2 linked regions of the Danio rerio genome follow. The protein of the gene in region 1 purifies or fractionates together with the protein of each later gene. This does not show direct contact. Links are inferred from orthologs where the notes say so. Each region holds a gene or a part of one and is shown on either strand. Other genes may lie near its edges. The genes, in order: scfd1 and use1.

Evidence for each region.
Region 2: the proteins of scfd1 (region 1) and use1 purify together in Homo sapiens (affinity purification with mass spectrometry; 3 studies listed by BioGRID and IntAct, counting the BioPlex papers as one, with this or other methods). This does not show direct contact. The link is inferred for Danio rerio from reciprocal best matches to the Homo sapiens genes SCFD1 and USE1.

What each region holds. Positions count from the first base shown.
Region 1 is NC_133192.1:30,292,767-30,304,950, forward strand, and holds the start of scfd1 (sec1 family domain-containing protein 1), read right to left. Parts: upstream 5,921-12,184; 5' UTR 5,876-5,920; coding exon 5,845-5,875; intron 2,518-5,844; coding exon 2,447-2,517; intron 2,364-2,446; coding exon 2,275-2,363; intron 2,194-2,274; coding exon 2,103-2,193; intron 2,022-2,102; coding exon 1,899-2,021; intron 1,756-1,898; coding exon 1,668-1,755; intron 1,578-1,667; coding exon 1,488-1,577; intron 1-1,487. Other genes in the region: g2e3 (G2/M phase-specific E3 ubiquitin-protein ligase), read right to left, coding at 8,094-8,341, 8,424-8,635, 11,587-11,759, 11,839-12,020, 12,096-12,184. UniProt on the Homo sapiens protein: Plays a role in SNARE-pin assembly and Golgi-to-ER retrograde transport via its interaction with COG4. Involved in vesicular transport between the endoplasmic reticulum and the Golgi.
Region 2 is NC_133197.1:10,717,101-10,728,040, reverse strand, and holds the end of use1 (vesicle transport protein USE1), read left to right. Parts: intron 1-63; coding exon 64-113; intron 114-317; coding exon 318-396; intron 397-495; coding exon 496-648; intron 649-2,639; coding exon 2,640-2,655; intron 2,656-2,746; coding exon 2,747-2,777; intron 2,778-2,862; coding exon 2,863-3,025; intron 3,026-4,577; coding exon 4,578-4,760; 3' UTR 4,761-5,702; downstream 5,703-10,940.

The sequences.
Region 1 (12,184 bases):
TCTGCCACCCAGTGGAACTTTCTGACAGTTAAACTAATAGCTGTAATGTGAGCTTGATGCTAAAAATATGACTGCTTTTTTTATTTTGATAAAATATGAAGTCTTTTTAAATTCACATTAGTCAAAATTAGACAGACAGAGACAGCAACTGGGAGTCCTGTTTGCAATCATCAATTATTATTCTTTCATGATTTCATAATACAGGCACAAAATTGTTTAAAATATGTGCTTTTAACTTGATATTGGTTATTTAAAGTGCAAAATACATTTTAAAAGTGTAGGTAAGTTTAATGAAAATATTCTATTTGAAAAAAAAAGGATGACTTAAATTGATCAAAAGTGATAGTAAACAATATTCAGAGCATGCAAATGTTGTATTTAAAATAATGCTGTTCTTTAAAAGGCACCTATTTAACCCCTTTTTCAACATTTAAGATAAGTCTGTCTCTAGAATGTGTCTGTAAAGTTTCAGCTCAAAACACCCATCAGATTATTTATTATACATTTTCATTATAGGTGCCCTGTAAACAGCTTTCAACATAATAAAAATAACAATAATAATAATAATAAGTGTGGTTGTCTCACAACAAGGACGTTGCTGGTTCGTGCCTTAGTTGGCGTTTCTGTGTAGAGTTTGCATGTTTTTCCCACGTTTGCGTGGGTTTCCTCTGGGTGCCAAGTCCAAAAGACATGCGATACAGGTAAATTGAGCTAAATTTGTCCGTAGTGTATGTGTATGGATGGGTGTATATGGGTGTTTCCCAGTGATGGGTTGCATGTGGAAGGGCATCCATTGCGTGAAAAATATGCTGGATAAGTTGGCGGTTAATTCCGCTGTGGCCCAGGTTAATAAAGGAACTAAGCCGAAAAGAAAATGAATGATTGAATAAGAAGTGTTTCCTTAACATCAAATCAGCATACTAGAAAGAATTCTGGATCATGCCATGTGATAATCTGAAGTAATGATGTTGAAAATGCCATTATAGGAATAAATACATTTTAAAATGCATTAAAAGCATGGTTCACCCAGAAATTTTTATTCTGTCATCATTTACTAACCCCTCCACTTGGTCCAAACAAATCTGAGTTTCTTTCTTCTTATAAAGAGAAAAGAAGATATTTTGAAAAAAAAAAATCTGACTTGCATACTATTTTCTTCTTACTATGGATGTCAAAGCTTATCACCGTTGAACAACATTCAAAACATCTTCTTTGTGTTCAGTGAAAAAAGAAACTCAAAAATGGTTGGAACAACATAAGCCAGTATAAATGGTACGTAAATCTTGATTTTTGGGTGAACTATGCCTTTAAATTAGACAGCTGTTTTAAACTGTTATGAAACCCACAATATGAATTAAACTTAAATAATTAAATGGTGAGCGTAGGAGACATTTTAAACATGCATAAAAACCCTTAACAAACCCCCAAACTTCTGAATGGGAGTGCATATGCATGATAGGATACAACAAATTAATATCCTTATTTACCAAGAGTAACAAAGAAGCAGAAGAGACTATCCACTATTGTGTCCATTATACCCTCCATGTCTGTGTCCATGATATCTGGCTTATTGATTGCTGAGGAAACAGAACAAGACAACTATTAATAACTCTGGATTATATTTAAAAATAAATTAATTAATATTTCAAGTGGGTTTAACAGCTTACCATGGTAGGAGATGTGCTCTTTGTTTTGATTACAGAGAATGAACATATCATCCTCAAGTGTGATGAAGTTCAAATACTGATCAAATACCTGAGGAGGAACAGAACAGTCTAACATTTAAGCTGAAATAAATATGAGCAGCATGTTATTTGGCTTTCTGCATGACTTCACTGAGCTCGAGCTCTAGCAAAAGCACAACAGACACTCACTGTGAACAAACATGTCGGACTTACTTTGGTCACCTGGTTTACTGCATTAGCCGCAAGCGCAGCACTTGCTATATCCTCCAATTTGCTTCTGGAAATTGCGGAGATGAAGTTCAAATAGTAGGACTCATATAGTTGGTTTCGGAGGTCCTGTGATGGAGCATATAAATGTTCTGAAATTATTCAAACAAATTATCTTTGAATGGGACTGACCAAAACAAGCATATTTACTTGACATATCCTGTCGATGTTCTCCTCTGTGGGCATTATAAAGTAAATGGCAGGAACGTCTGGAATGGGGTCGCGATCTGAGTGCAACAAGCTAGAGAGAAACAAACAATTGTGAACGATCATTTCGATTAGTATTATGAAACAGCTGACTGGATGTTTTAGAGGTGCTCACAGGTGCAGAGTGATGCCCATGTCTCGTAGCTCTTTCACAGACAGAAGCGGAGATATAATGTCTTGGCCAAAGCGATCGTAAATAAGAACCTAACAAGAATAGCAATGTGTGAGCCAAAAAAGCATCACTGAAGCACATTTAAAAAGGGGAAACTTCTAGGTTTGTCTCTTACCTTCCATACTGGCTCAGCTGTTGTGTTTTTAAGGGGTGGGGCATTAAAGTTGAGCATTCGTTTGAGAGCAGCTGAGAAGAGAAATAGCAACGACATATATTAGCAATTCTTAACAACAGTTAACATGCAAGATTTGACAGTGTCAATGTTTATAAATCTTAGAAAAAAAACAACAACCACAGCAAACTCTTCATATTTAGTTCATGTTAACTCAGTTTTCAGTTGTTTATTCATTCATTCATTTTCTTTTCGGCTTAATCCCTTTATTAATCTGGGGTCTCCACAGCGGAATGAACCGCCAACTTATCCAGCATTTGTTTTATGCAACGATTGCTCTTCCAGCTGTAACCCATCTCTGGGAAACATCCGTATACACTGATTCACACTCATACACTATGGACAATTCAGCCCACCCAATTCACCTGTACTGCATGTCTTTGGACTGAGGGGAAACAGGAGCACCCGGAGGAAACCCATGCAAACGCAGGGAGAACATGCAAACTCCACACAGAAACGCCAACTGACCCAGCAGAGGCTTGAACCAGCGACCTTCTTGGTGCGAGGCAACAGCACTACCAACTGTGCCACTGCGTCGCCCCAGTTTTCAGTTGTATTTATTAATGATATATTATTAACAGAAAAAGATATTTAAAAAAAAATAGGACCAATTCTCACTATTAACTAGTGCCTTTTTTAGCTGCCTATTATTAAGATGCTGGCTGTTAATCTGTACTTATAAAGTATATAATCTGCATAGAGATGGCACGATAATCTTTTTCAAGGTTTACCACGGTTTGGAAAAGTCAGGTTTTAAAAACGTCAACATTTTCAGTTAAACCGTTCCCACGGTATTTGTAAGATTTTCTTTTGTAAATTTTTATTTTTTGTTTGTTTTTAAGGACAACAGTATCTCCGGCGGAAAAGATATCCAAGATGCACTTTTTAAATGTAAAGAAATCAGTGTAAGCTAATGAAGGCAGCAGAAGTTAACAATTCATTTTCATTATTTAGCCTGACATATTTACTGCTCCAAAATATTTTAAATGTTTCTCAAAATAAAATATATTGTGTTCAAATTTAAAAGGCAAAAGTTTTTTTTTTTACCCAGACATTAAAAAAGAGCATATTTATGGCAGTGAACATAATACTGAGAAATTGTGTAACCTTGATAATTTTATCTAAGGTTATCATACTGTCAAAATCTTATACCAGCCCATGCCTAATTCTGCATAATGATATTATACAGTATATACCTAATCCTACCCAATACATAAAACTAACTACTACCTTAATAACTATTAACAAGGAGCAAATAAGGTGTTTACTGAGGTAAAAGTCAATGGTTCAGTAAAAGTGAGACTTGTACGTTGAAATAAAGTGTGTTATTGTTGAAAGTAACTCATACAAAAGGCTGTAAACCAATGTAGTTAACTTTTTATTCATTCATCTTCTTGTCGGCTTAGTCCCTTTATTAATCCTGGGTCTCCACAGTGGAATGAACCGCCAACTTATCCAGCAAGTTTTTACGCAGCGGATGCCCTTCCAGCCGCAACCCATTTCTGGGAAACATCCACACACTCATACACTACGGACAATTTAGCCTACCCAATTCGCCTGTACCGCATGTGTTTGGACTGTGGGGGAAACCGGAGCACCCGGAGGAAACCCACGCGAAGGCAGGGAGAACATGCAAACTCCACACAGAAACAACGACCTTCTTGCTGTGAGGCGACAGCAATACCTACTGCGCCACTACCTCGCCCCCTGTAGTTAACTTATGTTAACAAATAGAACCTTACATTTACTTAATTTTGCTTCAAAGATTTGTGTGTGCAGTGCACATATATATTTTAACTAATAAATAAATAATGAACAAATAAACGATTAGATAAGGGGTCACCAATCTCGGTCCTGAAGGGCCGGTGTCCCTGCAGGGTTTAGCTCCATCTTGCTTCAACACACCTGCCTGGGTGTTTCAAGTATACCTTGTCAAACCTTGATTAGCTTGTTCAGGTGTGTTTGATTAGGGTTAGAGCTAAAATCTGCAGGACACCGGACCTTCAGGAACAAGTTTGGTGACCCCTGGATTAGATAAACAAACCAAATCACAAAATCCTTCTTGCTTCTGAAATTTTTAACAACCAAAGCATAGATTCTCCCCTAATTTGAAATGATGCATTTTATCCAATGTTCATTAGTTCTGATTTGTAAGCGCTCATTTCTGTTAGAACCCAACTGACCCTTGATCTAATTCTCGATTTGATTTAATAAATGTAGATTTAATAAAATGCAATTGACATTTGTGAAATGAAAAGCAAACATCAGTTCTTAAATGTTCAATTGACAAAAAGAAATTAAGAGCTTGAACATTAAATCAGAACCCATACTCATAGAGGTAAAGTTGGTTTTATATCTGCACATTCGTTCATTTAGAAGACTCTATATTGTTTACCATGTTACTTTGAATATTCTATTGAAATTAGCATGCAAGTATGACTTCTCAACAACATTAACACTGTTTATTTGACTGTGAACAATGTTGTACTTTGATAGTCATTGGCTGCTAATAGGATTTCGCTATTTAGAGTTTGCAAATAATACTTTTATGAAATTATATTATTAAGAGGAAAGTCCGAAAACCAACGTTATCTCTATCCCATACTTAAATGCATACAACAACATCAAATTATAGGTTATGGTTATATCATGTCATTTGTGTATCTCTGACTTAAAAAAAAAGAAGAAAAAAAGAAAACCGGAAAAATAGAGAATCAATATTTAAATGACCAAATAATAACAAAGGTATTTTTGTCCATCCCAATAAAGATTTGTTAGGACAAATAACTATATTAAATATATTATCCACTAACGATAAATTATCCACAATACACGTATATTAATGTGATATTGCACCGCATATAGAATTAGTTAAAATAAATTAAGTATAAATAAATTAAAATATCGTACGTAACCTTCCCTTCAACACTGTAACGTTACCCAATAATTATCATAAATATATTGTACCTAACGTTAAGTATTGATCTGAATAATGTTCGTGATTTTAGCTAGCTTGCTAAATCAGATCAATTTATTTTCATGACAGGACTCACGGGTAATAATAGTCGTATACATTTCGTATATTTTTAAAGTACAAGTGTTTCTTTATGCACTCATGTAGGTTAATCTTTCATTCATCTCATATTAAGTAGCTGCTTTATGAACATCACGGTTAGCATCCTCAGCTACACTGACAGGACTGTACTACTTCTGTTTTTTTGCATTCAGCATTATTGTCTGTATTTTTAATTGACAGAGTTTAAAATCGTGTGAAAATGACTAGTATTAATAATATTGCCAGCATTGAGTGTTTGTGTATAAATAAAAACTTTAGAACAGACCTGTCTGTTTTTCCCGGATGGACGCCGCCATCTTTACTGTTTATGCAGTGACGACTGCGAGGGTGACGTGGCAACCGGCGAGCCGCTGTCTGTCAGCGTACAAGAACTCACACCACTGGAGATCCTCAGTAAACAGATCAAGGAGGGCTTATCAGATGATTTTAAATAATTTATATTTTGATTTTTAATTTAGTTTCTCTAGACAGAATATATGCATTATAAAATTATGAAAAGCATTTTTTTTACCAGGCTCAAAAATATTAAAGTTAAATTAACATTTTTCTCTTTTGTTCAATTATTTATCAGAAGAAAACAATCACTTTCTTTTAAGTTATTGACAGGCACATTTCAGTGTTATCATTTGCCTTGTTTTATGGATTTCAAGACCTAAGGGCTTTATAGAATTGTATTGTTTTATCCTTATTTGAGTCTATGAAAATAAAAAGTAAAAGTATTATAACATTTAAACTGTGATGATCCAAATTGGGATACAATTCAAATATTGCATGATCATATTTTTTTTCAATATGATTAGCCCTAATTTGTCAATCTATTCATCCGTTTATCCATCCCACCATGTATGAATTTGTCTATATATCTGCCTATATATTCATTTTTTGTCTATCCCTGTATCAACTTGTCTATATATCTGGTTATCTATTCATCCTATTGTCTACCAATCTATCCAGTTTGTCTATTTACATATCTGTTCATCCATCCATCAATGTCAATCAAGTCTATCAATTCATCCATCAGTTTGTCTATCTGCATATTCACCCTTTGGTCTGTCTATCTATCATCTTACATCTAAGAAAAAGTACAAATGATTAAAAAATATGAAAAAAATGATATAGCTAATTTGGACCAAAGCAAAATGAGGTTATTAATAGTATAAAAGTTAAAAAGATTATTTTTTTAGACAATTCTAGAAAAATCACAAAAAATCTGTCAGTTTGCCCATCTGACAATATACAGTAGTCAACATTTTAAGTGGACCAAAACCTCTAATCAAAGTTCTCCTTAAGCTAGTGAACAACTTAATCACTTAAAACAATTCTAACAAACCTTCCTCCACTTCAAATGTTGACTACACTGTATTCATCAGTCTGTCTATCCAGTTATCTATCCCTTTATCTGTCTTACATTGATCAATGCATCTATTTGTTTGTCTTTGGCTAGAGTCTGTTTATATTGTCCAGTCCTTAATCCATAAAGTCATTTATGGATGAATGGCAATCTAGACAGACTTCAGTCAAACAGATGGATGCATAGATAGTCTATCTAATTGCTCTGACTAAAAATGTATATCAGTGTTTTGTTGATGTGATGGACGTGTGCATATTATTTGATAGGTGATTTTAAGACTGATTGAAAAAAACCTTCAGGTAAGTACATTATAAATCCATTCATTATTTAATAAAAGTAAACACAGTAAAAGAAAGTTAAAACAAATAAGTTATAGCAGTTATCGAGTTGTCAAGATATCAAACAAAGACATCAGGAGAAATAAAACTGTACAAGAACAAAGACATACCTGCTTAAATGTGATTCTAATGGAAATGACAAGCAAAGCAGACCAATTCATTCAGTAACTACTTCATTTGTAGTGACGGCATTTTGCCATTAGCAGTGTGGCAAAAATCTTGCAATTGCTCCATCTTGTGGCTACCAGAAAATTATAAGCGCGTCAATTTAAGCTTTGCAGTTTTTTTTTTTATAAGAAAAATCAAGAACATAAGAACATAACAACTCATTACTACTCAACTACTTTGAGCTTTGGTTTAAAAACCTCTGCACTTCTAAGCTAATAAAATCAACATCTAAGCCATTCAAAGCAACATTTACATTAAGCTATTTACATTTACATGCTCATGACCAGCTTTCCCAATCTCTTCAAGTCTAAATTGATAAGAAAAGCACACATATAATCTTTTTTTAAAAACAAATTTTCCATGAGTCTAAGCTTCTGTAGAAAATATTACCTCAGAGTTTTTCCTCAATAGTTGAGTGGCTCAAATTGTTTTGAGAATTAAATTGGATCAATAACTGAGACCATTTAAACAACACAGAGTTCATCAAGTTCTAAAACCTGCGTTTAACTACTGATAAATAGAGTGAATCATTTACATTAATGCGATTTAAGACTGTTGATATAATACTCGCTAACTGCAAACAAAAAGACTTTTAGCACCATTGTAAATCATTATGTGAATCTACACCATGACTCTACTGAAACATCCAGCTCGGCTTTAAATGTCCTGCATAACTGAGAACTGACACACTGTGTAATCCAAATGTTTCTTGAAGAGCTGGTAAGAGGGTAGAGTAGGCAGAATGAGATGATTGGCATCACAGTTGCTCTGAGGAAAAGCACACAAGTTGTCTGGTGAGCTGAGGAATGAGATGGACGGAGTGGGCTTGAATCCGATGGCTGGAACTAAATCTGTACCAGTGGCAAATGTTAGGAGGTCCTCCAGCGATGCTGCACATTGACCCTCTGAAACACAAGAGAAGGGTTAAAATTATTCAAAATGCATTGATTATTCTCTTCATATTCATCCAAAATGTAACACACAGACCTTCACATTCATGCAGATACTGTTTCCAAAAGCTTATCGTGGTCTTTTCTAGAACTTGTTTTTCTTTTTCTTCTGATAACCGGGTTGTGAAGAGCTCCATGACAGATTCAGCCGTCAGCCTTTCCACAGGTCCACAGAAGACTGGAAAGAACGTCTCTGAGCACATCTGGACCTGCTCGAACATTCCTAGTGTCCTCAAACCTTCACGGAATCTGAGGAAAGAAATATGAGCTTGAATGAACATTTGCTCACAATGAAGAGAAATGAAGGTGCTTTAAAACATTATGTGGATACACTAGAATTAAACAGATTGGGGTAGGTAAAATTAAAGAGCTAATAATTTTATAATAACTAATAATACAAGTTCATGAATACATTTTATTTGAAATAAATGCAACAATTCAAAATAACCGTGTTCTATTTGAAGTTATTTCACATTTTTGTATGATTCTAATGCAAACTTTCTAGCAGTTATTGCTCCACTTAACTGTTCCACTGCCTGCTCTACTTATAGATGATCATATTTTGTCTGTTTTAAATAAAACAGTCCTTTAAAAAGTGACTGTTTTAAATAATAGTTTACACAAACAGCATCGTTGGTTTACCAAAAAAAAAAAACTAGAACAAAAAAAAACAAACAAACAAACAAACATTATTATGTTGCACTACTACACTTGATTTTGGTTTTATTGTAAAAAACAGAAACAAACAGAAAACAAGTTAAACGAGAATCGGCAATATTTTATGGCACACTAAAAAATAAAGTTGATTTAGTATTCAAAAATGTTTTATTATTATTATTTTTTATAAATTGAAATTACACTTCATATTTTTCAGATTTTCATAGCATATGCATCATTTCTACCTCTACCAAATGGTTGATATTTTATAAATTATGGGATGTGCTGAAAAAACAAATGCTTTGAGTGTTAACTACCGCCATTAGGAATTAAGAAATGCAATCCACATTGTTTTTGGTGGGGCAGTTAATGTGATCACAGTTTAGAAATTACTATCGAATTTTTAAACATTTTACTTTGGTTTACCACAATACAAAAATGTTAAGATTCTATACTAATCCAGGTTTCTAATATCTGACAGTATAATGCAAATGCTATTGGTTCTGTGACAAATTACATATTCTAAATGCAAAAACGTAAATGACTTATTAACATTCTATGATGGATGGAAAAAAAACTGTAATCATTTCAATTTTAATTTAAATAAAACATTCTTCATTTTTGTCATTCATATTTAAAGTCACTTTTGATAAGCTTAATGGAAACGTACTAAATAAAATAATGGATTTCTCACTAAATAATAAAAGAGAGATCGTACCAACCAAATTGTTGAACAGTAAAATATGTTCAATTAATGTTATAATTACGGGTCTTAAAGATGTAAAAATGAAATGCGAAAAATTACATATAATAATAAAAAATAAATAAAAAAATAAAAATTCTACAGACACAGACAGACAGACAGACAGACGCACGCACGCACGCACACACACACCTTACAGAAGACAAACAACAAATTATCAATGCAACAATGTTATAAACACAAAATTTTAGTTCATGAATATTTCGAATAAGTGTTGCTTGATAAAATATATTAAACTTTATTTAAAAAGGCACCAATTTTACCCCTTTTACAAAATGTAATATACGCCTTTGGTGTCTTCAGAATGTGTCTGTAAAGTTTCAGTTCAAAATACTCATCAGATAATTTATCATATCGTCCAGAATCTGCCGATTTTGCTGTCTGAGGTTAGTGTAGCTATTTATGTAGCCTGTGGCTTTAAATCCAAATAAGCTGCTTCTCCCCGCCCACTATTTTTATTACCTTTATTACAAACGGGCTCTGCTTTAAAAACATTTTAAACTTATAAAATTAATTGATGTGCAGCTGATCACAGAGAGTTGTAACATGTATCTTTGCAAAAAATGTTCTGTGGACATGTGTATACAAGTTTTTATGGAGACAAGGCACCTGTCTCCATAAACCGCACTCCTACATCTCCTTGCTGTGGGCCTCAAAATTACTGGGATTTGGGTTGATGGACTCGAATTTCTGCCTTTCAATCCATCCCAGCATGGATCAACATTTATCCTTTTTCTCATAACTTTATTAACATGATTATTTAATTCAGTATTTAATCACTAAATGATTTAGACTAATAAATAAAGTTAACACATTGCTTAATATAATATAAGAATGTTCAGTGTATTTGCCTGTCTTTTTGTCTTTCTATTTTAACTCTACTTTCAGGAGCCACCAAACTAGATCAGAGGTCAAGGAAACCTCAAGTGGAACTGAAGGGCTTGATGATTAAAAACAACTGTTTTCCTATTTGGATTGCTATGTGTTACTGTCTAAAGTGAATTTGATATTATTGTTATGTGTATATTCATTTTAAAGTGATTTTTATAGACTTTGTGTTGTAAAAATATAGCAGTCTGAATGCTGTTTATACCAGTTTTGAACTAGTTCGATAAGACAGCTGAGAGTATGAAGAAACAACCTTGGGTTTTTATAACAGATTGTCACTTGCGTGTATATATTCATCCGATGGGTCAGTTCTGCAGTTCTAAGACCAGTTCATAATTGTCTACAGGCGGCTGACCTGACCCAAACCTCCTGTTGCCATCTGTACATAATATTTTAACTGTCTATCTTTGTTTTAACCAATCGGAACCTGTTACCTGAATCACACTCTTTCTGGTCTTGTGTAGAGAGTATAATTGATGTTGATTTATGATTGTAAGCAGAGCGGCCAAGGAACTTATTGCGAGTGTTGAAGCTGGCTTCTGTTGATGAAACTGCAAACTATCTTCAGTAAAACTTCTGACTCCGGCTCTACTTCATCTGACAGACTGGTCATTCTTTGAGTTAAAACTGTAAATAATCCCTACAGGGTCCTATTTTAACATAAGGAAATTTAAAAAAAGAGACTTGTTGGGTTCTGTCCAAACAGTCTACAAAAACTGAACTGTAACATAGGTGCCCTTTAAGGATCACAGTGCAGCCCCAAAATCCTAACTAATCTTAATAATTTCATACTGTCTTTATTATAAATCAATCACTAGATTTGACACATTTGACCCTATAATTATGCTTTTTACATGCTAAGATATACGTCTTAACAGTTTAGATTACAAACCTTTGCAGAGGAAGCTGCAGTCTGATGATCAGGTAGAAATTCAGTACATCCTCCACCAACATGTCTTTCTCAGAGAGTTTGCTGATCTTCCGCCAACAGCCTGCAGCTTCCAAATATTGTGATGCTGACTTCATCGCATGTCTCAGCTCCTTCATTGACTTTGCTTCTGCGATCTAAAAACACAGAGACACTATAGTTTAACATGTGTACAACAACCATTAGGTTCTTAATAAGTTACACAAATAAACTCACTTGTCTGATTTTGTGCCCAAAAGCAGTGTCTCCGAGGTCTTCTAAAGTAGGCCTGTAGTTTTTGGGATAGTTGAACAGACTATGATACAGTGCAGGAGAGAAGAAGCCCAGAGGAGGACCTCCGTGAACCAAAGAGAGGGCCAATAGACTGCCGACATCAAAGTAGAGATCGTCCCTCAGAGCTGTTGCACACACAACAGTTGTTAGCTTTGTTAGTGAAGGTCATTTCTAATTTTAAAAAATGGGTTTGAATGTACCTTTTGAGTTCAGAGCCAGGTTTTTAGCTCCATCGGATCCCTCAAAAATGTCTGAGACCTGCAGTTTTGAAACGAGACGCCTGAGAAAG
Region 2 (10,940 bases), on another chromosome or scaffold:
AATCTCAATTGACTTTGATTTGAAAAAAAACTGTATGTTTTGTTTTGTTTTTGTCTTTTCAAGTATGTCGGTGCTCTCGAGGAGATGTTTGTCGCCCTCAAAAAAAGTCCCAGGTAATTTTGAGCCATAATGTATTACAAAAAATACATATATTGGGTGAAAACGCCTCAATGTATCAATATTAGCTTGAAAGCTAAAAACAGCTAGCTTAGCAATGTTTCTACAGCAGTTATGAAATGTCTCGTTTGATATGAACTACCACAGACATTGACTTTTATAATAATAATTCATCATTTATTCGTGATGTCTTCCCTCAGCAAACCCACACCGGAAACGCTGACAGACTACAACCGTAAAGTGGATTTCCTCAAGGGGCTTTTAGAGGCAGAGAAACTGGTCTGTTTTTATGTTTGGTTTTTTGGGTTTCCACATATTGATGGAAGCAACTTTTCTTCCTGTGATTTTAACTGTTGATGTTTTGTTTCTGTTTTGTAGCCGTCTCCAGCTGAGAAGTCTTTAGCCAATCAGTTTCTGGCTCCCGGACGAACGCCGACGATCTCCAGTGAGAGAACGCCAGCCAGCAAAACAGTCCACATTCAGAGCAAAGCCAGATGTGCTGGAGAGATGCGGAAAGAGTTGATGAGCAGCGTACGAGAGCTTGATTTCTTTACTATAAATCTGCTTCATTTGGATTTGTTTTATTTATTTTTTTGTTTAAGTTGATTTGTTTTATTTAAAGACTAGATCACTGGTGTAAAATGCAGCTCCTGGAGGGCCGCTGCTCTGCACAGTTTAGTTCCAACCCTGCTTAACAAACTTGTGCCACGGTCACAGTTGAGTTTGTGCTTACAAAATTCTGTAGTACGGCGCTGCGAAAAGGAGTGGAATTAAACAAGATGATTAGACATTTACGAAATCAAGCGATTGGTCCATATTTACGTTTCTATCCAGAGAGGTCATGTTTTAATCATTGATTGGTCTCACGCAATTACGTGATGGGATTTTCGCAGGTCAAAGTTCAACAAGCTTGAACTTTACAACGCAGCGAACTACGAAACTTGTCGCAGGTGCTTGCGTTTCCGTTCTGACGCATTCGGGTGAGTATGACTGAAAATCTATGGGGTGAAAAGTCCAGTGTGACCACGGCTTTACCTGTAGGTTTCAAGCAAGCAGTCAATTAGTTTGATCAGGTGTGTTTAATTAAACTGTGCAGAGCTGCAGTCCTCCAGGAACTGGATTTGATACCTGTGGACTAGATAAAGATCCTTCTAATGTTGTGTTAAAGATCAGCACTATTGTATTAATTCAAATTCTATTTAGTTTTCATTTATTTATTATTTAACTTGAATTCGTTTTTTTATTTTAAGATTTTCTTTTCTTTGTTTAGTCAGTTTTTGTGGTAATTATAAAATTAGTAGCTAAAATAAAATAGTCTTGGAAAAGTCTTGGTATTTTCTATTTAAATTATGTATTACTATATTTTTTATATTTGTATAACATAAATAATATAATATAATATAATATAATATAATATAATATAATAATATAGTGCTTCACAAGCCTAAACAAATGTTAAAAACTTAAAGTTTGTGTATTCAAATATAGAAAGAGATAAGCAAAAATAATATAATAATATATTAAAATATACTTAATTTTAATTTTAGATAAATTATCTGCAAAGAATTTTGTGCATATGTGTTTTTGAAATGTAACTTTTTCTCTATATTTATATATTTATTTATATAATTTTTATTAATTGTATTTTAGTTTTTTCAGTTTTTAGAGATTTTAATAACAAAATAAACATGAGAACTAGGAATGAAACAAAAAATATTTTCACTTTATGTATTTCAGTTAACAGCAAAAGTTTTATATTGAATTCTTTTGGTATATTAATTAATAAAATGTTATCTTTAAGCATAAAACTATCAACAATAGTATTGTTATTGTAGTAAAAATAAAACTATTATATTCTTACTGTTTATATGTATATGTGTGTGTTACAGACACAAATTATTGAGATATTTTTAAATGTAATTTATACTCATTAATTATTCATTTTCTTTTCGGTTTAGTCCCTTTATTAATCTGGGGTCGCCACAGCAGAATGAACCGCCAACTTATCCAGCATATGTTTTACGCTGCTGATGCCCTTCCAGCTGCAACCCAGCTGCTGGATAAGTTGGCGGTTCATTCCGCTATGGTGACCCCAGATTAGTAAAGGGACTAAACCGAAAAGAAAATGAATGAATGAATAATTTATATTTAAGCAGTAATTAAGACAGTTTTTAGTAATAATGTAATGCATTTTTCTTTTTTTAACATTTACTTTTTAAAATATCTTATTTTTTAAATCATATTATTATTATTATTATTATTTCCTTTTTAAATTGTATTAATATTAATAATAATAATGCATATTATTTAAAGGCGCCTTTCATATTATATGTTTATGTTTCCGTATTAGTCATTTTAGTACATTAGGTACATGTGAAACATTTAGATTTACATTTTCAGGTTTAATTTATTTTTACTTTGAGTAACTAAACCATCATCTTCATAACATCATTCATATATAATATTAATTGTAAAAATATATATATTTAGTACTAACCCTTCTATCTTTGTCTTAATAACAGGGTGTGTCAAATTCCGGTAAGCTGTGTCTTGTATTTTAACAAACTCAACATATTTCAGAAACTGATTGACACCTTGATCAATTATCGTCTTTATTCTTCACTTTCAGCTTTACTAGAGAACGACCTCCGACACAGGAAGTAGGTTTCACTTTCTTCAGTTCTCCGTCGAATGAGCTGCTGTTACTGGTTTCTACATCATTCCTGTTTCTCCTCTGTTTTTCAGAAGTCTTCCAGTAGACGAGCGTCAGTCGGCAGCAGAACTGGACCAAATCCTGCAGCATCATCACAACCTGCAGGAGAAACTGGCCGATGACATGCTGAATCTCGCGCGCAACCTCAAGAACAACACACTCGCCGCTCAGAACATCATCAAGCAGGACAACCAGGTGCTGTTTCTTTCTGAAAAAAAGATTTGGAGATGTATAAAATAATTGCATCTACTCACAGCAAATGATGTGGCACATTATAAAAGTGTGCATGTTTTAATTACGACATGCGTCTAGACTTCTCTTTTGTGTTTTTTGGTTCTGTTATAAGAGTAATATTTCAAGATATTTATTTTCATTGCATTTTAAATACAAATGAACACTAATCTCAAATTAATTATTGTCATATATATATATATATATATATATATATATATATACACACACACACACACACACACACACACACACACACAGTTGAAGTCAGAATTATTAAACCTCTTTGATTTATATTCATATTTGCCAAATGATGTTTAACAGAGCAAGGAAATTTTCACAGTATGTCTGATAATATTTTTTCTTCTGGAGAAAGTCTCATTTGTTTTATTTCAGCTAGAATAAAAGCAGTTTTTAATTTTTTTAACATCATTTTAAGGACAAAATTATTAGCCCATTTAAGCTATTGTTTTCGATAATTTACAGAGCAAACTATCGTTAAACAATAACTTGCCTAATTCCCCTAACCTGCCTAGTTAACCTAATTAACCTAGTTAAGCCTTTTAATGTCACTTTAAGCTGTATAGAAGTGTTTTGAAAAATATCTAGTCAAATATTATTTACCGTCTTTATGACAAAGATAAAATAAATCAGTTATTAGAAATGAGTTATTACAACTATTATGTTTAGAAATGTGTTTTAAAAATCTGCTCTTTGTTAAACAGAAATTGGGGAAAAATAAACTGGGGGGGGGGGGTTGTGGCTAATAATTCTGACTTCAGCTGTATATATAATATTACTAGTATTATTAATAATAAATATAAAATATATAAAATAAGCTTATAATAATAAAAATAATAAAATAACAGTATTTAATATTACTATTGTTATTATCATTAATCAGTTGGATGTATTATATTTAATATATTTAATAGAATAATTGTATAATGTGATTGTACCATTACTACCATATAATATAAATTCTTTATTTGTTTATTAGTTTTTGAGAGAAATTTACCACAATAAGCATTAACAGTATGTAGATGCTCAAAGTTAATATAATTAATCATATTGACCAGCTTTTTGCATACTTTATTTGGTGTATTTCTAAAGTGTATATAGTAATTATACTTATAACTGTTGTTATTGTTACTAATTTATTGAAAATTAGATGATATTAGGTTAGAAACTGTTTTTGTATATATAAAAGTGCATGTGTTCATTAGTTTTTAGTGGAATGTAAGCTGCATAAAGAGTACGTTTTTGAATGGCTGGTTTACTTGAGACCACTAGAGGGCAGCAATATGCTAGTGTTTACACTTGCAGATCTTTCAAGTGTCCTCCTGTGGTTTGTTTACATACTTCAAATCCATATCGAAACCAATGTCAGTTTTAATCACTTTATTAGCATATTATGTTAATAAATTGGCTATATTCATAATGTTTTTGTCTAATATATTGGCCTGTTTTAATTTCTTTCTGTTGTTTATGATTTTTGATTCTCTCTGCTTTGCAGACCCTCACACAGTCCATGCGTCAGGCGGACGTGAACTTCGAGAAGCTGAAAACCGAGTCCGAGCGACTGGAGCAACACGCCAAAAAATCCGTCAACTGGTTCCTGTGGCTGATGCTAATAGTTGTTTCTTTCACCTTCATCAGCATGATCCTGTTTATAAGACTGTTCCCGCGGCTCAGATGATGCTAATCCAGTTTAGCAAAACAGCTAGGTTTTATTTATCTATAACAAAAGGTTTACATATATAGACTCCAGCCAAAAGTTATAGAAATGTATGATTGACGGCCTCAGTCATTCCCGCGGAAAATCTACATTACCTGCATGCCATTGTGATGTCATAACGAATTCGCGCCGAATCCCTACTGTCAATAAAGTGATGAGGGAATCCCTTCTTTTGTTCGACCATGTTGATGATGCTCGTTAATAACGGTAAGTTATTGTTATTCCATAACCGCAAACTATTCGTCAACCATTTAATAAACGACTTATCTAACAATAAACGCTGTTAAAATTAAGTTTCAAGTAAACCATGTCTTTTTAAAGACGAGCTTAAATTAAATTACCTCATGAAAATTCTGTTTAATGTAGCCAAATAAAACACTACATATGAGATGCTTAACATGACTTAACGTTTAATTCCGCTTTTTTATGACCTCAGTCAATTGATCCACGTACTGTACTGTACGATGGCTATAAAAATGCACCGAGCTGATTTAAAGTCCGGTCGGCTTGTATCGGTTCAGTGAGGAAATGTTCTGGCAAACAGCAGGAAGTTATTTTGCTTGTCGGACGCACACATGGAGACTGTCTTCTCCACCCAGAGAGTAAATGGCCCGTATTTAGCTGAAGGTTTATTTCTGCGTGTTCTCTTATGGTGGATGAAGTGTTAAGTATTGCTCAGATATGGTGTTTGTGCTACTATTGATGGATGTTAATGTTTGTCTCAAGCGTCCCGTCATTGATTGTTCGTCATGTACTGTTTGCTTTAATTGATTCACATGAGAACAGGCGACACATTGTTTTTTTTTTTTTTGTTTGGTTTTTTTTGTCTTCAATGTGTTCAAATGTAGTGAGACTGAAAAATAGAGACGTGTGTATTGTTTTAATAAAATTATTTGCAGTCAACCATATGGTGTTTAGCTGTTTTTAATCATTTTGACAAATGTGACTGGGTGGGTTACGTTTGCTTATGGGTTTTTATATAGCTACAGTTGAAGTTAGAATTATTATTAAAATTTTTTTTTCTTTTTTTAATATTTCCCAAATGATGTTTAACAGAGAAAGGACATTTTCACAGTGTGTCTGAAAATATTTTTGTCTTCTGGAGAAAGTCTTATTTGTTAATTTCGGCTAGAATAAAAGCAGTTTTGATTTTTTAAAAACTATTTTAATGTCAAAATTATTAATGTTAACCCCATATATTATTTCAAAAGTCTACAGAACAAACTATCAATAAAACAAACCATCATACAATAATTTGCCTAATTACCCTAACCTATCCTACCCTAAAATAATTCAGGGGGACTAATAATTCTGACTTCAGCCGTATATAGAAAAGAAGGTTTTATATGTTAAGACTAAACATTTTGTATCTATCATTAATTCTATTTTAAGAGCTCCCATCATGCAAAATCAACTTGTTTGAAGCTGGTTGGTTGTAAATGTGTGTACAGAGTATCCGCAGGTCTTAAAATGTCTTACATCTCAAAACTAAATTTTTGGTCTTAAAAAGTCTTCAATCTACTGAAATGTTGTGTTGTAAGTCCTAAATCTTTTTCAACAGATTTTGATTTTCCTGTTATTTTTTCTTTATTTTAATATTATTGTAGACAGAAGTAATTTACAGCTTTGTTTTGTTCTATTCTTGGTAAGGGTTATAGGGTTTGTAAATGGATATATTTGAAGACTAATAAAAACAAATTTATTTGTTCAACAAATATAAAAAATAAATAAATAAAAAATAAAAACTAATAATAATAATTTTTTAAATATTTTCACTACATTTGAAATATTTTTTTTAAAAATTGAATAAAGCTAAAATAATTGTATCATTAAATGTGTTGAAATGTAATAATTTTTGATGGGGCAAGTGAAAATATTTTTAACTGGCATATGCGGAAAAAAATAAATCCTTAGCATTTAGCCCTGTACCGTATCAGTCTAAAATTTCATTCATAATAATGTTAAAATGTCTTGAGTCTTAAATCTACTGAAATGTTGTGTTGTAGGTTTTAAATCTTTTTTTCTTAAATTTTTTCTCTCTCTATTTTATTATTATTGTAGACTGACGTAATTGACAGCTTTGTTTTGTTCTATTCTTTGTAAGGATTATAGGGTTTGTGAATGGATATATCTGAATATTAGTAAAAAAAAAAAAAATCTAAAAATATTATTGAAAAAACTAAATTATCATTGTATCTTTAAATGTATTACATTTGAATAATTTTTAATAGGTCAGGTGAAAATATTTTCTAACTTGGATATTCAACAGCGTTCAGCCCAGTATAAGTCTAAAATTTCATTCATAATGGTCTTAAAAATGTCTTAAAGTCTTAGTAAAACCTACAGAAACCCTGGTATAGTGTGTCCACAGTCACTGGAGGGATATAAACACAACCAGTCTATTTCTTTTTTTTCCATTTCGTGATGTTAAAATAGAATACAAGTCCCAGCTATTTTGAAGCCCACTGCACTGTGAAGTAGCAGTGCAGTTTTTCCTGCCACCGATATTCATTGACAGGCTTATATTTGCATGTCTCAGTCTACAAGACAGGATTTGCAAAGAAACTGGGTTTCAAAGATCTGTTCCAACTCTGTGATTCAACTGCACTTCAAAAAGCAGTAAGTGCTACACTTTGTATTTTTTTAAATAGCAATTTGAACTACACTGTTTGAGTTACATAATTTATTACTGCTGGAATCTCCACAGCTGCATTCTACAGACCAGTGTCTCCAACCTTAAGGGTCAATGCGGACTGGTCAGCTCTTGACAATTTAATGGCAATGATGACAAGCTGACAAAACATTGCTGCCACTCTGATACAAGTTGGAGATGTGCATATTCCATAAGTAAAATAAAGCTGATCGGTCAGTTCTTGTCACAATGCGCTTGTGGTATTCTGTAGATGTTTTCAAATGGGTGCATCTGGAAGCCATCTCCAGCAGTCGATCTTCTTGCACAGACATGCTGGATTCATGTGATTCGTTGACAAATGGGTTGGGGATTCTATTCCTTGGCAGTTCGTAGGTCCTTCACTGGGCCTTTCCCCTTCCCAAATAAACTTTCCAAAGACGACTATTTCTTACTCATTTAGCTGCTTGTGGGTGACGGAAATGCAACCAAGAGCATACAGTCATTTTTTAAAATAAAGATTTTTCAAAATTAAAGATTGTTCAGAACCAGAAATTAAGTAAAATGAAAATAGTTAATAATTTCTTGTGTGGTCCGGTACTGGTCTGCATCCTGGGGGTTGGGGACCACTTGTACAGACAACTGTAAACGAGGATGCTTCAATCACATAACAGGAGTCCCGGTTTGTGGGTGTTAAATTGGGTTGATTTGTACAGCAGCTTTGCTATAAAGGATCTCTGTGCAGCACCATATTTACTCGTTTGGTGGGCATCCTGTCACATTTGCAATGAGTAGATGAGCAAAAACAGCACAATGTGTTAAACACAAGTGTGTGTGTGTGCAGAACATTGTAACTCATTTGTGTGTGGCTCATTCATCATTGCAACTAGGAAGGCTGAATAAACTCCACAGCAGCTACATAAAATAAGCATTGGGAAACTTTCTGGTTCAGGCTCCCTGTGGTGTTTGTGACTGGGTCTCTGCTTCATTGTGTCTGTCATTTTTCTGGTTTGTCCTGACATCTGACCCAGATTATTCTTTTTTTAAAGCTAAATGTCTAAAGAGTGGACGGGGAGAACCAACTCATTGTGATTTAAAGGCACCAAGCTACAATTCCCTCTGACCCCAAATTTGACATTTTTAACAGAATTTAATAATTGATCTAGTGGGTATTTTGACTTGAAACTTTACAGACACATTCTGGAGACATAATAGATTTCTGTTACATCTTGTAAAAGGCCCAAAATTGGAGTCCTTAAAATTGTTTAAAAAAACAATAGACAAATTACTGCAGCGAGGTTGCAGAAAAAAATGGGAGTGCTAGCATTTACAGCGAGGGAAGGACATGCGATACGGCACAGAGTTTGTTGTTGTCTTGGAAATAAATGTTATTGATTATATATTTTATATATTATTTACTTAATGCTTTCAGCATTTTATAACAGCTCGTCACCCAGTGATAAGCACAGTGGTTCGGCAAAATTAACGTCAAAATGAGCGGCATTCATCTGACAGGTTCATTTGCGATAGCACGCTCCCAATGAATGTTGAATAAGACGAAATGATCAAGCATCCAGCCCGAAATATACAACTATCACTTTGAAACTCCAAGTGATTTTACAGAAGGGAAGTTAAAGGCCTACAAGTCTTTGGATGCCAACAATGTTGTTCATGTGCAAGAAATAATGTTCCATAATTACTAGATTCAAAACTTTGGCAAGGTAAGAAGACGGAACTGTACAAGGCCTGGGCAATCATCAACAAGCAAAACAACTGCATTCTGACAGTGAACTCCACCGGTACGGCAGGGTATGTAAACGTACATTTTTACATTTCATTCTAAGCATTCAGTATCTGCAGTTTAATTCACCATATTTAACTGTTTTTGCTGAAATCATTGCCATAATCAAAAACAAGTAATGTGTATGATTCAGCATAGCGTGAACTTACCTGATATAAAATGAGAACTGCAGAGTCCAGCATTTTTAATTAGGTCCTCACTCCATTCAGCTCCCTTTTAGCCAAAAAACGTCTGCGGTTGGCATTAAAAGCAGTGTGGTGTACGGTAAAAGTTACGTTTTTTAGTTTTGGACTTTCGATTTTGGCATCCTACCACACAAGACAACATGTTTGCTATTGCAACCAGTCTTTTTTTGCAACCGGGAACTCGTGTGACATCAGTTATGAGGTTGGTTATTCCTCTATTGAGAAAATTAGACCAAATGGGAACCTTTTGGTAGAACATTCTGTACGAGCTGTTTCCCAGGAAGAATTTTTTTGTTAAAAAAAAAAAAGATGTCTAATAGACGTCTAAACATAGTCGTCTTAGCTAAAACAAAGCTAAATTTGGTCTGTCAGTGAAAATCTAATAGAAGCTAAGAATAGGCCTAGACTGGTCACATATAAATATAGACTACTTGACTACACATATAAAGTCTGTCTATTTGACCACTAGTCTAGTTTTGGGCTATTCTTAAATGTCTATTAGATTTTCACTGATTTAGCCTTGTTTTAGCCAAGTGTCTACAATTAGATGTCTATTAGACGTCTATTAAACACAAAATTGTTTGCTTGGTTCATACATCTTAACATTTGCCCTACAAATTTATACAATATTTTATTATTTTTCTACTGAATTACTTTAGGCTAAACCAGTAGGCAGAGTTTAATAGTGTGTAACCTCACATTGTTGTTGTTTCATAAATTAGCTGTGCTGAATACTGTAATATCGTAACAACATGTCTGACTATAAATAAACGGAAAACTGACGGTATAATGTCTAATTTCTGGTTTGTGGTACAGAAATGAAAGTTGAAAATGCCCCAAACTATTCACTGAAGTAAGGGGAATGACCTAACATCTCAGGAATATTTTATGCTTGGAAAAAAACAGCTGATGTACATGGAAATTTATGTACTTTGAAATAATGTTCTTTACGACCCCTGTCGTTGTTAGCTTAGCAGTCCCCTAATGCATCATAAATCATTGTTTTTCTGACACAAGGCTCCCGTGGACCCAAAGGCCTAATTTTCCAAACCAGGTCGATCCACCTTTGAAGTAAAGCATGCAGATAAAGTAGCTGGGAGTTTTAATTTCGCAGTTCCTGACAGAGAAAGCTGGAAGGTGGTGGGTTAGCTGGGGTGAAGGGATTGAAGTGACACCTCCGCCTGGCCGCGGGCCTCCGCTACACCGCAGGGGAACCCAGCAGGTGCTGCAGTGTTCCTGGAAAATACTCAAGTTCACAGAGATTAAGACATAATAAACCCGCCTTTTCAGGAGATCTTTAACCGTAACTTGGAACAGCTTTTGCTTGATTAATGCGAGAAAAAATGCGATTAAACCTTGTCATTTTTTGGTCACGATGTTTGAATCCAGCCGCTCGGTATGTGGTCTCTTCTCGATGTCATTTCTGTTTTCACATTTTGTCCTACATGAAGAAATGAATGTCAAATGGAAAATTTTGCCACATATTTCACAACTGGGTTGCTTATCAGTAATGGACTGCATATACA